Styela clava: one gene and its partner. The protein of the gene in region 1 interacts with the protein of each later gene in a biochemical or structural test. Links are inferred from orthologs where the notes say so. Each region holds a gene or a part of one and is shown on either strand. Other genes may lie near its edges. The genes, in order: coatomer subunit beta-like and coatomer subunit delta-like.

Region 1 (8,008 bases):
ATACCTATTCATTATAATGTATTTGGTAACATTATGATAATGTTTAGTTTTACCATATGTTTTCGTTGAAATGATTATTGTCATAAATGCCATAAATAAGATCGGCAAAAAGTAATATTTGTGTCTCGAAAGTTTGGTGTGACAACTTCTGCGATTGGTTATTGAACTAATGAGCAATTTGGCTGTTATGAAGTTGGCCATTACACTAGTGGACAAGTCGCCAGGCACCGCTCATCTATCTTTTACTGGTGAATAAGGTTGTTTGCCAGAATATAGCGTTTGGTATCTCCCGTAATGTAAGATAATCGGGACAGTCGTGATCAGGCAACACTTCCAAAAACCAATTAGCATATTTCATTCTTACGGTCCATGTTACAGTCTCTAAAACGTTTCGCTGTGTTCAATCATTAGAATCGATATATATATAGCATTTTAATATTTCTGAAAAACTTTGGTTACAATGACTTGATGGTTAAAGTTACCATCACAGGGTAAAAGTCTCAGGTTCAAATAACATGACCATACCCTTACCTAGGATGTGATAAATTGGGTAGTCAACGTGTACCCTGGAAAGATCCCGGTCCCTTCAAACGATAGTAGCTTCTAGCAGTGACATTTATTCATAGCCTTGTTTTGATTGAAAGAAAGCCCCGTTTTGGCATAAGGAATAACTAATCAAAACATGAATATAAAAATTGAAGCATATTCTCGCGTTCTTGTTTTTCATTTGTTAAAGACACTAGGTATTTTAGACAGTGTGGCTATAATAAGTAATAAGAATGCGTTTTGTACTCTCCACGATATTCTGCACCTTAATTGCCCTTAGCTGTGCTTACGCCTTTTTGTTGATAAATTTGCCAAAGTTCGAATTAGAGGAAGGAGTAAATGACGAAGACGGCACGATGTCTTTTTCAAGGCGGCCTCCATTTATACGCGGAGCATTTACTCGGATGAATGGAAGGTGGGTGAATGTGCACAATATTGTAACAATATCTACTTCTTCATTTCCGTAGATTTATTATAACCCTGAGTATATGTCGTATATATCACCTTTCGTTAAATAAAATCTGAAATGCTGTTGGATAAAGCTTCTAAAGTAGCAACAAAACATTTTGTAATATTCTTGTGTTATATCACTTCGAGTTTTTTTCCTGTTAATAATCAAAATTGAATTCTTTTTTTAGAAGATGTGTGGCCATGCGAGCCGATATCCATTTACTTATAAATATTACGTTTTTATTCAAAATAACTTCGAAACATAGATTAATAATCATTTAAAACGTGTAGGATAGATTCCTTGCAATCGACTAGGTAAAAAAAAAATCGTGTTGTTGACTAGGTCTTATTTTAGGTGGAGGGCTTATTTAAAAAAAAATTAAATTCAAGCTAGGTCTTATTTTCAGGGTAGGTCTTATTTTCGGGGAAACACGGTAGAAGTGAATAACCATTATTTCAATACAAATATATCCTGTGGTTGAAAGTGGAAACTAAAATAGGCTACTAAAATATTTCTCTAACTTTGTTTATAAAATGGTCTGTATTCAATAAAGATATTATTTTATTCGGACTTCTTTTTCTCATATTTTTAAGGCGAACTCACGTCGTACCGTCGGATGGCTGGAAACGCAAAAAGAGAGAAATACAACACCAGGAAGGCGAGTTTGCTATTTATTTTATTACACATTGCACCTGTCATATCAAATATAAAATCTTGTTGAATAGTTTTGTCGAAATACTTGAAGGATTTTATGTTTTGCTTTCGATTGTATGTTTGTCTGTTATATAGAGCACTTAATTGCAAACATTAAAATAACGTTTTTTATTACTATTTTGTTTTACATATGCAGCCATAGACGAAGACATAGCACTTTTTGAGTGAAAGAAGAAGAAAGAAGAAATCTATTTTAAAATACTTTTTGTACAATAATAAATCTTTGCAATACGAAAAAAATCTCTTAAACGTTTCACATTTATGCGTTTTCTCTACGCAAGCGCTACTGACGAGGATGGTGTGGGAACCAAATCTAACTCAAGATGTAACAGATTTTAATCGCGACACCCCAAACAAGGATAATTACTTACAAGTCAAGTTTATTTTTTCCAACCAGAAAAAAAGTCAGTTTCACACAAAATATGAGGAAGATAGAAAATCACACATTTCATCTGGGGAAGGGAAGCCGAGAGGAACCAATGCTGGTTATCGAGCAGCGAGATCTAAATACAAAAAATACGCTTCGTTGGTTCGAAACACGTGCATTCAAGCTTGCTTAAAAGTCGGTTATATGAAACTGATACTATTGTGTTTGTTGTTTAACCGCGAGCGAGCCTAACTTCAAAAAATCGTCTGATTTTTGTGCAGATAGTGTGATATCCTATTTTTAATCTTGGTTTATTTTAGTTAACATTTCACAACTTACCAAGTTTATAAAAAACCAGAAATATAAAATTTCATTTTATTATTATTATTACTTGTCCCCACAAATTGTTTCTACGAAGATTCCCCACACAACAGAGGTTAAACTTGAGACACAGTGACGTAATGGGTAAAAAAAAATACTGAAAGAAGAGTCATATAAAAAAAATAAAAAAATTTATTTAGACCAAAAATCAGCAAAGCAGTCAAAAAATGTTTGATAAAAACAAAAATCACAAATTCTTGAAATTTCGGAATCATATTAAAATTAATTCCTGAGTATGGATTAGAAAATATGTCTAAATCACTGAAATTGGGGATCGGATTTCCCGGTATCCCATCCCCATTGCTTACTTAGGAATCGAATTCATATTACCGACACCAAAACAAATTGTATTTTTTCGGCCGTAGTTGTTATAAGAATATGAGCATCCATATTTCCACAAATCGGAGGTTTCAATACGAAAGTCAACTGTTGACATTTGGAAAACAAAATTATTCGAAAATATTGCAAAAATTGGTGTTTTTATGCTGGTAATTCAATAATTATTTGCACGCAGTATTCAAAAAGTATTCTAATAAAAATTTACAGGAGTTCAAAACCAATAATCTCCGTTTTTAACTTTTTTTTAAAACAGTCTCAAAATTTTTTTTTATCAAATCCTTCTAAATATAAATTTACGGTTATCCACTTCTTTGTCTCTTTCACTCGATGTCATAATTGAGTGTTTGTTTAATATATCCGACGCAGTCAAGCAAAAAATTCTCCCGAGACACGTCGCCGATAACAGCATTTTTTTGGTCGTAGCTGGTGTTTTCCGCCGCTAGTATTGTAATATGTGCCTGAAAGACGCAAAAATAGCAGCCTATTTGACGTTGCTGACGGTATTTTACTGTACATCGTATGCCCAAGATGCATGTTCTGATCTTTTACCAGGACAATACCGCTGTGCTGAACCTCAAATAGATGAGCATACTCAGGCTGTTGCCAACTGCACACCAGCTGGCAAGTCGAAGATTGACTGCTATCCTGTCAATGGTATAACATGTGATGGGAAATCGTTTAATGGAAGCCAAATTGGTTTCGAAAAACTAATAAACTGTACATATACTAATGGATATTCTTATACAACAGCACTTGGACTTTCAATTTTTCTTGGTTGGTTAGGGATAGATAGATTTTATTTAGGTTATCCAGCACTGGGATTATTGAAGTTTTGCACCTGTGGCATTTTTGGCTTAGGTGCATTTTTTGATTTTTTATTAATTGCATTGCAAGTTGTTCTTCCTGCCGATGGTTCAAATTATGTCATTGATCTCTATGGACCCCGATTGCGGGAAATTTCTATAAATGCTGAAACTTATTTTAAACCACAACTTGAATGATAATTTTAGACTGTTTTTGTATACTATATCCAGATATATGTATACTCTTATTTAACACTGTGCTATTTCTATTGATCTTATTAGAAGCAATAATCCAGTATGACCCAATTTGTCAAAATTATTAAGTGTAACTAGTCAGAATATATCATTCTGAAGTTATTCTCCTGTATTTGACTGCATACTAATATGTTTTCTGTGGTTCCGCTGAGCTAATAATATACCAATTTAAACTGGCCCTGATTTGGTTTTCTCAATTTTCAGTGCTCAAAATGTCATTCACTTGACTGAGTTGAACTGTATTATTTTTTTATTTGAGCCTGAAAAAAAATTCTTCAGATATTTAGTTTTTCAGTAATCTTTTGTCATTTTTCACTCATTTTGCAACTTTTTTTTGTATTGCTGTGTGGATATATGAAAAATCCGTTGTTATCTGTTTCATTTTTCAAACCAACAATAGTCTTTATATGTAATAGTAGTTTTGTTTTTTTTTAAGGGACATTCATAGTATGTTTCTATTTGAATGGAAAACTGCCTGTCATAATATGTTATTTAGAATGCAAATTTTTCTGATAGGATTATACCATTGCCATTCCATGCATTCTATTTCATATCTCAGATGATGAATATGGATGAATTTTGGAAAAATTATTGTTTTTATTTAATTTTTTCTGTGTTGTGCAGTATACTATTTTACCCGACTCAAAAGCAAAGCCTCAAGCGACCATTGAGAACTTTAGGAGTGTTAGTAAATTATCTATGAACCTAATTTGGTAAAGATATGTTAGTCTTGCCATATTAACTTAACAAAACTGCTCTTGGTGAATGAGAGAGCAACAATTGCGCAATTTTTATTGTGAAGCTGTAAATGTCTCACTTTACAAGCTACGATCTGCTATATAACATAACTTTCTTTTCAATGCAAGCTTTAAAATAGTATACCCCCTATTACTCCTGTTTTTTAATTTTTTTTATCATGTTTCTAAAATGCAATGTATTATTTTGTTCAAATATTTTTTGTTTTATTTGATAGATATTTAGATGTGCTAGTGCTTGACTTACAGAATGACATCAGCAGAAAGCATTTGTCACACTCTAATCAATGTACCGTCTGTTACTGATTCGGAGCCATCTAATGAATCACAATTAAAAGCAGATATCGAACATGGCGATATTCGTACTAAAACAGACGCTTTGAAACGCGTCATATTAATGACATTGAATGGAGAAAAACTTCATGGTATGATTTTTTTTGGTATTCAAATAAAATAGTTTATGATTATAATATGTCACATTCTTTTTCAACATATTTTGGGTTATTCATGAGTAATATAATAGTGCATACCAAAATATAAAAATTTAATAATATTGAACAAATATTTCAAAATAATTGGATCCATAGTATTAATCTTCAGTGCTGAGCAGAAACTGAAGTCATACAATTTTTTAAATTGTGAATAGATTTTATCGATACCATATAATATATATATTATAGTTCGTTTGCCTCTACGGGTTTATATGAGGTAAAAAATGGAAACCGATTAAAATAAAACAAGCCTGGTTAGGATAGATTGAGAATTGACTTCATTACGAAATTAAAATTGTAACAGGACTTTATGAATACCTTGTGTATATAGCATAGCGTAATATGTATCGTATGTCTTTCTTCGGAAGATAAAGAAATTGGTTGAAACCGTACATTTGAACCCACGGCAATTGCACCTGCTTACTATCATATCTAAGGATTTTTTATTGTTACACGGATATTTGAACCCATACTAACACTAACCCATGGGTTTTAGCCCTCACATATATATTGAACCAGCGGATATACACATGGGTTCAAATGTACGGTCACCAAAGAAATTCAAGTTATATAAGTAAGGAGATAAGCCACATCAAAATTTAAAATTTTTTGACTGTATTATAGAATAAATTATTTTGTGATAATTTGATCTGGGATATTCATTTACAGTCTGATTTGAATCCAACTGTATTTTTATACAGTATAATGAATATGTCTTTTGAATAGCTTGGAATGAAGTTACATTTTTGTGATTCGATTCAATGCAATTGATTTAAATTATTGCATTCTTTATTACAAGGATTATTGATGACAATCATCAAATACTTGTTGCCTTCTGAAGATCATACTATCAAGAAATTATTGTTGATATTTTGGGAAATATGGCCCAAGACGGACAACGATGGAAAATTGAGGCCTGAGATGATTCTAGTTTGTGATGCTTATAGAAAGGTGGGCTGCTTGATCATTCATGAATTCTATTAAAATTACGCTGAATAAGCATTTAATATGGAGGATTCCCAATATTTTACTAGATAATTGATACATTCGGTTATAAATTGGAAGCCAAATTAAAGCTTGATTGATCAAATTTCAAGTCAAGTTTATGGGTGTAAGTGTAACGGCCTAGTGGTGGCAGCGTTGGGCTTAAACATGTTGGTTATATTAATGAAATCTTGAGTTTTAATCCTATGCCCAGCAACTGACCTAATGTATAATATATTGGATAGATAAGGCCAACTGGACAGATTTCAGTCCTTCTAAAATATAGTGCAATGGCTGCTTGTTTGGAGTGGAAGATGTTTAAAATGTTGCATGGAAAAGTAATATGTAGTCAACTATCAATATCTTAGCATTGGTAATGTGTACTATGCCATTAATATCTTAGCATCGATAATGTCTACGAGACACGGCGACACTGTTTCATTGTTTTTTATCTGTTTGAATGATAAATCCCTATGTTGAAAATTGACTATTAAATTGTTTTAAAATTTATCTTTGTTTTGTTATGTATGACATTTTGATTAAATACAGTTCTGGATTACAGTTCTTGAAGGTTGTCTTTTATTGCAGGATTTGCAACATCCCAATGAGTTCATTCGAGGTTCTACACTTCGTTTCTTGTGTAAACTTCGTCAGGCAGAACTGCTTGAACCACTAATGCCTGCTATTCGTGCCTGTCTTGAACACAGACATAGCTATGTAAGAAGAAATGCAGTTCTTGCCATTTATACTATATTCAGGTAAGTATTCCAAAACACAACCACTATCTGAAATATGAACAACCCTTATAAGGAATGCAATTATTTCAGTCACACTAGGGCAGCATTTCTCAACCCAACAGGCAGAAAAAACAGAACGATTACTATTCTTTGTATGCAGTTTTGCTTATATTATTTGGTTATTCAGTTAATATTCGATATATATATATATATTGGATGCTTTGAAGTTCAAACAAACAACAGAAACAGTTTTCCGCATAGTGAGGGAGTAATAAGGGGATCTAAAAATAGACAAAGGCAGGAATATATTGAGAAAAATTGTAGACCACTGCAGTTAGGGATTTTGCTTTTCATGTGATTTTGACAACAGTCTCTCTTCTCCACATCTGTTTACAGACATTATTTATCTTCCAGGAAATTTGAAAATTTGATTCCTGATGCTCCAGAACTTATTCATGAGTTTCTGGAAGGAGAAAAAGATGCTTCGTGTAAACGAAACGCATTCATGATGTTGATTCATGCTGATCAAGAACGAGCTTTGGATTACTTGAGCACTTGTATTGACCAAGTAAGAGTTTTGTATTTAGTATGACACACATTGCCTGTTATTATTGTGTATATCTCAGTTTCAGTTTTTACTTATATATTTTAGTGCAATGTGTTTGTCGCATGCTTGTATCAGAGTTATCCAAAAGAATGGTTAGTGTACTTCCAAACATATTCATTTTCAATATTGTAATTTATTGAATTTAGAAATGATTTCTTTGAAAATGTGGGCATTTCAAGAATTTGCCTCTTAGGCAAGTTCATGATCCAAAACTTGTTTTATTCAACTTTTCCGAATAACAAAACTTGAAACTTTATTATTATGCAATGACCTCAGGCGTATTCTCTATAAAATATATCACATTTCATGATATAGAATGCTAATATTGCTTAGTGGTGTTGGAGTCTCCAATCTCTATTTAGAATAGTGAATTATTTGTTACCGGCTAATCGGCTATCCCTGGCATATATTTCATGATTTTGCAAACTGGTATTTCTGTTATGAACTTTATTGTGAATCTTGCTGTAGTAGTTTTCTAAACAGGTAAATTCCTCTTTTTTTGATTACCATTATATCGCTATGACTCAATTTAATTATGTAGGTTCAAATCCGATGGGTAATAAATGTGGGAGACATTT
Region 2 (7,429 bases), on another chromosome or scaffold:
TTGACACAAAATCAGTACCCTATATATAAACTGATTATCAAATCATAGATTTCCTCACAGGCAAACAGAGCAAAGACGAGCTGCTTAGTTGGTTTACAACTTTACGGAGAGGCAAACTGACAGCTACGAAAACATGATTAATCCACTTAAACATGATTGCACAATACTGCTAACAAATAGCCACTCTGTTCCAACTTGTATTTCAATGTTTATATGATAGGACAATTACAAATATATAATATACGTGAAATATTAAAACCAGTTAGGTATATAAAACACAGTGATGTTACTTACAAGTGAACAGTTGAGAGATTTTTAAGAGGACGATTATATATACCCGGTGCAAATTCAAGTGCATACCATTGATTAATGAACTACATTTGGTAAGTGACAGGGTTACAGTAAATCTAATGTTTTAAATTGTGTCTATTTCGAACCTTCATGAAATAAAAAAATACACAAAAAATACGAAAGAAGGATATAATAAAACACAATTTGCCATGCAAATGATGTACCACTGTGCTTATTCTGAGCTGAGCGGAAAACTGTACTAGATTATTGAGTTGCAGAATACCGACAAAAGCAAAACATAATTATGCTATGAAAATAGACCATGATCAAGAAAAAACACCCAGAACATTTCAAATGTTTTAAAATATACTGATTAACTTTCACATGAAGTGGTGCAACGATTCAAAACTCAAATATATATGTAAGAAGTCTTGGGTACAAGCGGTCAAAAAAGTCTAATTACACAGCTGTGACAAAGGCTAATGGTAAAATGGTCTAATAGTTTAATAATAAGGTTGTGGGAAAGGAAAACATAGCCTTTTAATATTGTTACAAAATTACAGTGTGAAATTCTTAACCACGATCTCTGAAAGTTTTAACGACAACACACAAAAACATTATTCACAAAATGTTCCATTATCTTTCATTCCATATATCGTTCCATTGCCTTTGGGAGAAGGACTTTCATTTCCCTGCAAATTTCGACTTCCTTTTGTACTGTTACCTCACATTCCGGTTTACGATCAACATAGTCAACTATCCATGAATAATATTCCAAGGACTTTTTCAAGAAATTTAATTTTTCAGATCTTACAGGAGCAATTATTTTTGAATACAGTCTAGCGACGTGAAAATGTGCAATAATCGCAGGATGTTCAACATCTTCATCAAATGGAAAAGGAAATACTTTTTTAGTATTTCGTAGTGTGTCAAGAAATTTAGTGAAATATAATATACTGGACCTACACAATAGGTTTATCTTCTTGATAGCGTGGTGTGTTGGAGTCTGAGTCGACTCATTAGCAATTGCAATTTTTAAATCTAACATCGCACCATATATTTCCCCAATTTCAAACTGAAGTTGTCTGCATATTAAAAGAAAAAATTGAGGATTTATCTCATTCAAAACTTGAGTAAGAAGGTCTATCCGTCTTTTATGCATCTTGCATTTTCTCTCTTTCTCTGTCTCAAAGAAAATCAAGTGTTTATACAGAGCACTCATGTCTTGCGTCAGCTCAATATTATCTGTGACAAAACCATCCATAACAAAGAATTCAAGAGCAGAATCAACATATTTTTTCGCTATTAGGAACACTTGTCGACTTTCTTCAAAAGTGGTGACTGGTAAATGTCTCGCATTCTCTTCTACAGAATCAACTTCAAGAGGCATTCTGTCATGATCTTTGGGTACATCATTGTCATTTTCCTCATTTAATTGTAGTCGTAGTATAGCTTCTGCTTGTCTATTAACATCAAGTTCACACACATCATTATATAAGAGTTCCTTTGAGTAATCCAGAAGAGCGAGAAAGTACTTCACCCAACAACGAGCGATATCTGCTTTCTTCTGTGGTATTTCATTTCTCAGCATGATCGTCTCATTATCATCATCAGGTTTCGGCTCAGGTAGACCTTCCTGAGGTTTTGCTTCTTCCATAATGACATTGGCACAAGCCAAACAATGTTTTGCTTCACGATACATATTTTGACAAATGTAATATTGTGATAGGCCAGCAGAATTCACAGCCCATTCTTTTGGATCATACTCTTTTGATTCCAGTTGACGTCGTAAAGTTCTTTGACAATATGCAGCAGATAGATCATTTTCATCACTTTGTTTGTACATCTGTGCCAAGTAAAACAATGTATGAGTGAAAATCTTTTCAAATTTTGCATCACGTTGCATGTCAGTGAATTTCTCTTCCTTTGGACGCAAACTTTCATCAATAGCGAAAGGAGAAAGACCCACTTCATGCTTATATTTATTATAAAGACTTTCAACTTTTTTAAGGTTGAACATTGCCTCGTCTCGGCCTTGATAACGGCTAGCCCATACTATTCCAAGTTCAGAATATGCAATCATGGCAATGCTAACAGCCTCTGGTCTCATTAAAAGTTCATCGTCTTTCAGAAGAGCAATACACTTATCAAGACATTCTTCTCCAGCAGGTCTTTCCTCAGTGTGAGTGTAATTAAATCCTAGCTGATATTGTATCGCAGCTTCTAAAATTTTCATGGATGGGTCAGATTCATTTTCTTCTCGTTCTTTATGTATTCTATTCAATATTTCTTGCAGCTTTTCTCTTGCTTTGTATTTTGACTTGAAAGGATCATTTTCTGGATCTTTTAAACTTTCTTCATCAGTTAAAACTCGTACACTGTTATATGCATCGTATCCCTCCGACTCAAAATATTCAAGAAGTGTCTGGGGTAAACTGAATTCAAAATTCATATCCAACTTCCTTATATATCTGTATATTAAATAAATCTGAAATATAGTACTAATTCTTCTGTTAAAAAAAATGTATTTTAATGAGTAGGCCTATAGGCACAACGACTTTTGAATGGTTTGCTCTGCAGCATTTTCGCCACTTAACTAAGAAGAAAGTAGAAAAAAAAGATCAATATTCTCAGATTCTGGAAACAATGGGACCAGTGAATGTTTACAAAATGTACTATTACTGGGGTCTTGTGTAGTTTCGTACTTCAAGTACTTCTAGTGGGCGTAGCATAACGATTTTCGCATATGTCAATCCTAATCCCCATCTGACTATGGCATCCAGAAATTATGTCACTACGACATCACAATCACTTCCTTAATAGAGCTTGTCAGAGTATAGGGGGATCACCCACAATGGCATCTGCGCCGCCGCCAGTCATATCGGGATCGTTGCAACGCAAAAACAAGAGAAATAGCTTGCTAGATTTTAGGTGACTGTCTGTGTGCTTGAATGACAGTTTGTACAGTTTGAAGGGCCTTGTTATGTCACTTTGACGTAATTTTCGAATGACGCAGCGAAGTGTTGGTTAGGATTGACAAATGCAAAAACTGTAAAACTACGCCCACTAGAAGCATGCTACTTACGGTAGCTATATTTGACAACGAAGAAAGACTGAATTGTAATCTAATAAACGCTTTCGCAAAAAATTAGGAACCTGGCTACCTTAGATTCATTTTTCGCTTACTTAATCTTTTTTTAAACAATATTTTCTCGTCCAATTTATTGTATTTATTTAGTTTAAAGATTTTTCATCTGATTCCGTGGTAAAATTATATTTTAATCAGCCTTTTCAATTTTTATATATAGCTATAAGTGAATCATATATGCGCTTGGAAATTATATTCAATGTGTAAAAATATTCTGGTTGAAATTGCTGCTAGCTCCACAGTGGTGACGGAAGGTTCGAATCACAACTATGGTCATACATAGGCTTACCATACGTCACGGTTTAGCCAGGACAGTCCCGGTTTTAGCCTGTTTTTCCGCCGTCCCGACATATAATATAAAAATTCACAACATGAAATTCTCTCACATCCAATTATTAAAATGAATTAAGAACACTGAAGTGCATAATGAAATTTATTTAGGTTTTATCTTCAGAATTACCCAGTTCATTCACTACAGAAAAGCATATCTACCTATTTAAAATATGCACAAAGGGGCCATGAATAATTGTTCATTTATTTATCACTATTACGAGACGAATAAACATACATACATAAAAAAAAATTGGGAAAACAAGATCACACTTGAATAAATATAAAAAATACGACAATACGATGCATACCGGTACTATTTGCCGAAATTCCGGTACTCAAAATATACTTATATTTACCGTAGGCTATATTATACTGCATCGTATTCATCTCAACGAACTCGCGGAGTGAAGACTGAAGTAAATGGGTAATAAGAATTTTTATTACTCTAGCGCGACATCTCGCGGGGATGATAAATCGAATTTATCGAACATCGCAGTAGTCTCCATTCAGCCGTTTTCGTACTTATGCCTAGCACTGACGTGGCTGCCTGTTGAACAAGGTTTCTGCATTGGCATACTGGCTATCGGTGTCGTTTTTGTTTCACATTTCTGAGGTTTGGAAATCTATAAATTACAATATGGTAAGTGATTATTATGGAATATGAATCTATGATATGACCACCAGTTTTGGATTCAAATTATGGTCCGATCTAACTTAACCTGACTCCATATAACGTTACAGATATAGGCTAACGCAATCTGGCAATGTTCAATTGTTAATTAGTTGCTGTTACTGTGTTGAGATGGATTGCTTATATTTTTTTTTCAAAACAGTGTTAAGACTTAACTCCATGGCTATTATCTCATTCAGTCCTTCAAATTAATATAAAATCTTATTTCTATATATCAACTCCATTCTTCCGAAAACAAATACCTGGTTAACTAATCCCATACCCGACCTGGTAACCGAACGAGAGGCGGGTCTAGTATAGTTTAGTACCACAGGTACTTCCAGTGGGCGTAGCATAACGAATTTTGCATATGGTATTCCTAACCCCCACCTGACTATGCCATCCAAAAATTACGTCACTAGGATGTCACCATCACGTGATATGGCTTGCCAAAGTATAATTACAATCGCCCGAAATGGCATCTGCGCCGCCGATAATGAACTCGCTAACGCCGACGATCTCTCTCTTATGGTGATCGTTGTGAGGCAAAAACGAGAGAACTAGCTTGCCCGATTTCGGGTGATCGTCCGAGTGTTTTGGACGACCATCTCCATACTTTGGTGGGTCTCATTACGCCACTGTGACGTCCAAATGACGTAATTTTTTGGTGACGTAGTCAGGTGGGGGTTAGGATTAACGTATGCAAAAATTGTCGAGCCAGGCCATCTAGAAGTGCATGTGGTACTAAACTATACCAGACCCCGAGAGGCCGTGGTTGGCCATATGATTAAGTCGTCTTATCGGTTTTCCTCTCCCCCGGGATAAATATGTAAATCCTATCCTATATTCAACGTAGGCCTAAGGTCATACTGCCATAAAAATTATGTGTTTTCACTTTTTTTCCACTAACTGACCGAACTAAACTATATATAGATGCTCCTCATTTCAGAGACAGAGTATTTATTTAAATGAACCAATTACGTTGGAACATCTTTGAATCGGAGAACTAGGCCCTACTGAATGTACAAAGTTTACTATCTGACTATAACGTTGAGTCATGGATTGAATTATTTCAATTTTTTAGGTGCTGTTGGCAGCGGCGGTAATGACCAAAAATGGTCGAGCCATCATATCTCGGCAATTTGTAGAAATGACTCGATCAAGAATTGAAGGTCTTCTTGCGGCATTTCCTAAATTAATGAATACAGGTAGAACTTCAGTATTTACCTATTTTATTGATGCCTTATCACAGTGTCTAGTTCTATGATTCAATAAAGCATTTTCAACAACCAAAAAAATCATGATAATATTCTGTCATGTAACAATGTAAACATGCATGTGCATTCATCATATCTTGGGTCAAAAGCCTATTGATTTTGGATGATTTATGTCATATAATTAGCGAGTTATTAATTAATTAGTGATGGGACACGCGGTGTCACTATAGAGTATAAGTCTTTGGTCTCCGACCGATTCCTTGTTTATTCAATTACTAGTTCATTATGGCTTCTAATAACTGGCTAGCTGTTCCCAACTGGCACTGGACGAGAGGCGAAGGTTTGCCATATGATTGCATTGTCTCGTCGACTTTTCTCCTCCCAGGATATAATATGAAAATCTTACTTTTATCTACTTTCGAGGATAGAAATTTATCAATTTATCAATTTCTTCAGGCAAACAACACACATTTGTCGAAACAGAATCAGTGAGATATGTCTATCAACCTCTGGAGAAAATGTATATGTTGCTGATCACTACAAAGAATAGTAATATTTTAGAAGATCTGGAAACACTAAGATTGTTCTCAAGATTGGTATGTAAAGTTTGAGGTAGATTCTAATATCGGAAAGGATAGAACTTCTGCAAGCTCATTTCTAACACCAACACATAATGACAAATTTTTTTAAATCTATTCTATTTAGATTATATGTACAAAATACCTTTCATGTTTTCGTTAATTTCAATTTTACTTGTATCCTTGAAATTCAATTTGAAAATTATAGAGAAAATGAATTGAAATCAAGCCCCAAATTTATTTGTTTATTAGAGTCTGTGATCGTTAGTTGTGATCATACTTTACTCAACATCATGCTGAAATCATGTTTTCTAAAGATTTTATGCTTTGTTTTCACACCCTTTTTCCTTGTCTTAATTGGATTATTATAAATTGAATCATAATTAATAATTGTTATTCAAGATTCCAGAGTATTGTCGAATCCTGGATGAAAATGATGTTCAAGAACATGCTTTTGAATTGATCTTTGCATTTGATGAAGTTGTAGCTCTAGGATATCGTGAAAGTGTCAATCTTGCACAGATTCGAACATTTACTGAGATGGATTCTCATGAAGAGAAAGTGTTCAGGGCAGTTCGTAAGGTAAGATAAGCTGACTTGAACAAAAATCATTTATTTTTTGTGAATGTTGGTCTTGGCGAATGGTAAGTCAAGTTTCCACCACATTCGTTTTTTAAATTTAAATTTTATGTTCTGGTTAATAGTAATTTTGAGATACCAGCGTCTACTGAAATATTACGATGGCTATCTATTTCAGTTTGATATAAGGCAGTGGTTCTTAAACTGGGTTCAATCGAACCCCAGGGGTTCGATGAGTCAGTATCAGGGGTTCAGCGGAGAGGAAACACCTTTGTTATAGAATCCCCGGCCAAACGTTATCTGATTGTGCAATCGGCGCTGTTTTTAAAAAAGTGTCTGTTTTGTCTTTGTAAGTAATTTCGTTGTGTAAGCGTAGTTTTCTTTTGTTCAGAGTTAGTTGTGAAGTATTACTTGATTAAAGCCTTATTAGGTTTTTAATGAGTCTGCATATTAAGTGAGTCTACTACAACAATGATCAGCATTGTTTTATTTGAAAACATTATTTTGTAGGGTTATAGGGTAATTCTAGCTTAGCACCGGCAAAACTAAAGGATCACTTTCTGAAGATGCATGGCGATGGAAAATACAAGAACACAACGCTCGCTGAATTTAA

What was found.
Region 2: the proteins of coatomer subunit beta-like (region 1) and coatomer subunit delta-like form a complex in vitro, tested with the Homo sapiens proteins (2 studies listed by BioGRID). The link is inferred for Styela clava from reciprocal best matches to the Homo sapiens genes COPB1 and ARCN1.

What each region holds. Positions count from the first base shown.
Region 1 is NC_135255.1:10,256,557-10,264,564, forward strand, and holds the start of coatomer subunit beta-like, read left to right. Parts: upstream 1-4,861; coding exon 4,862-5,036; intron 5,037-5,901; coding exon 5,902-6,053; intron 6,054-6,674; coding exon 6,675-6,844; intron 6,845-7,237; coding exon 7,238-7,391; intron 7,392-8,008. Other genes in the region: TM2 domain-containing protein 1-like, read left to right, coding at 3,251-3,799. UniProt on the Homo sapiens protein: The coatomer is a cytosolic protein complex that binds to dilysine motifs and reversibly associates with Golgi non-clathrin-coated vesicles, which further mediate biosynthetic protein transport from the ER, via the Golgi up to the trans Golgi network.
Region 2 is NC_135253.1:7,646,652-7,654,080, forward strand, and holds the start of coatomer subunit delta-like, read left to right. Parts: upstream 1-4,265; 5' UTR 4,266-4,409; coding exon 4,410-4,412; intron 4,413-5,526; coding exon 5,527-5,650; intron 5,651-6,115; coding exon 6,116-6,255; intron 6,256-6,639; coding exon 6,640-6,819; intron 6,820-7,429. Other genes in the region: KIF-binding protein-like, read right to left, coding at 935-2,743. UniProt on the Homo sapiens protein: Component of the coatomer, a cytosolic protein complex that binds to dilysine motifs and reversibly associates with Golgi non-clathrin-coated vesicles, which further mediate biosynthetic protein transport from the ER, via the Golgi up to the trans Golgi network.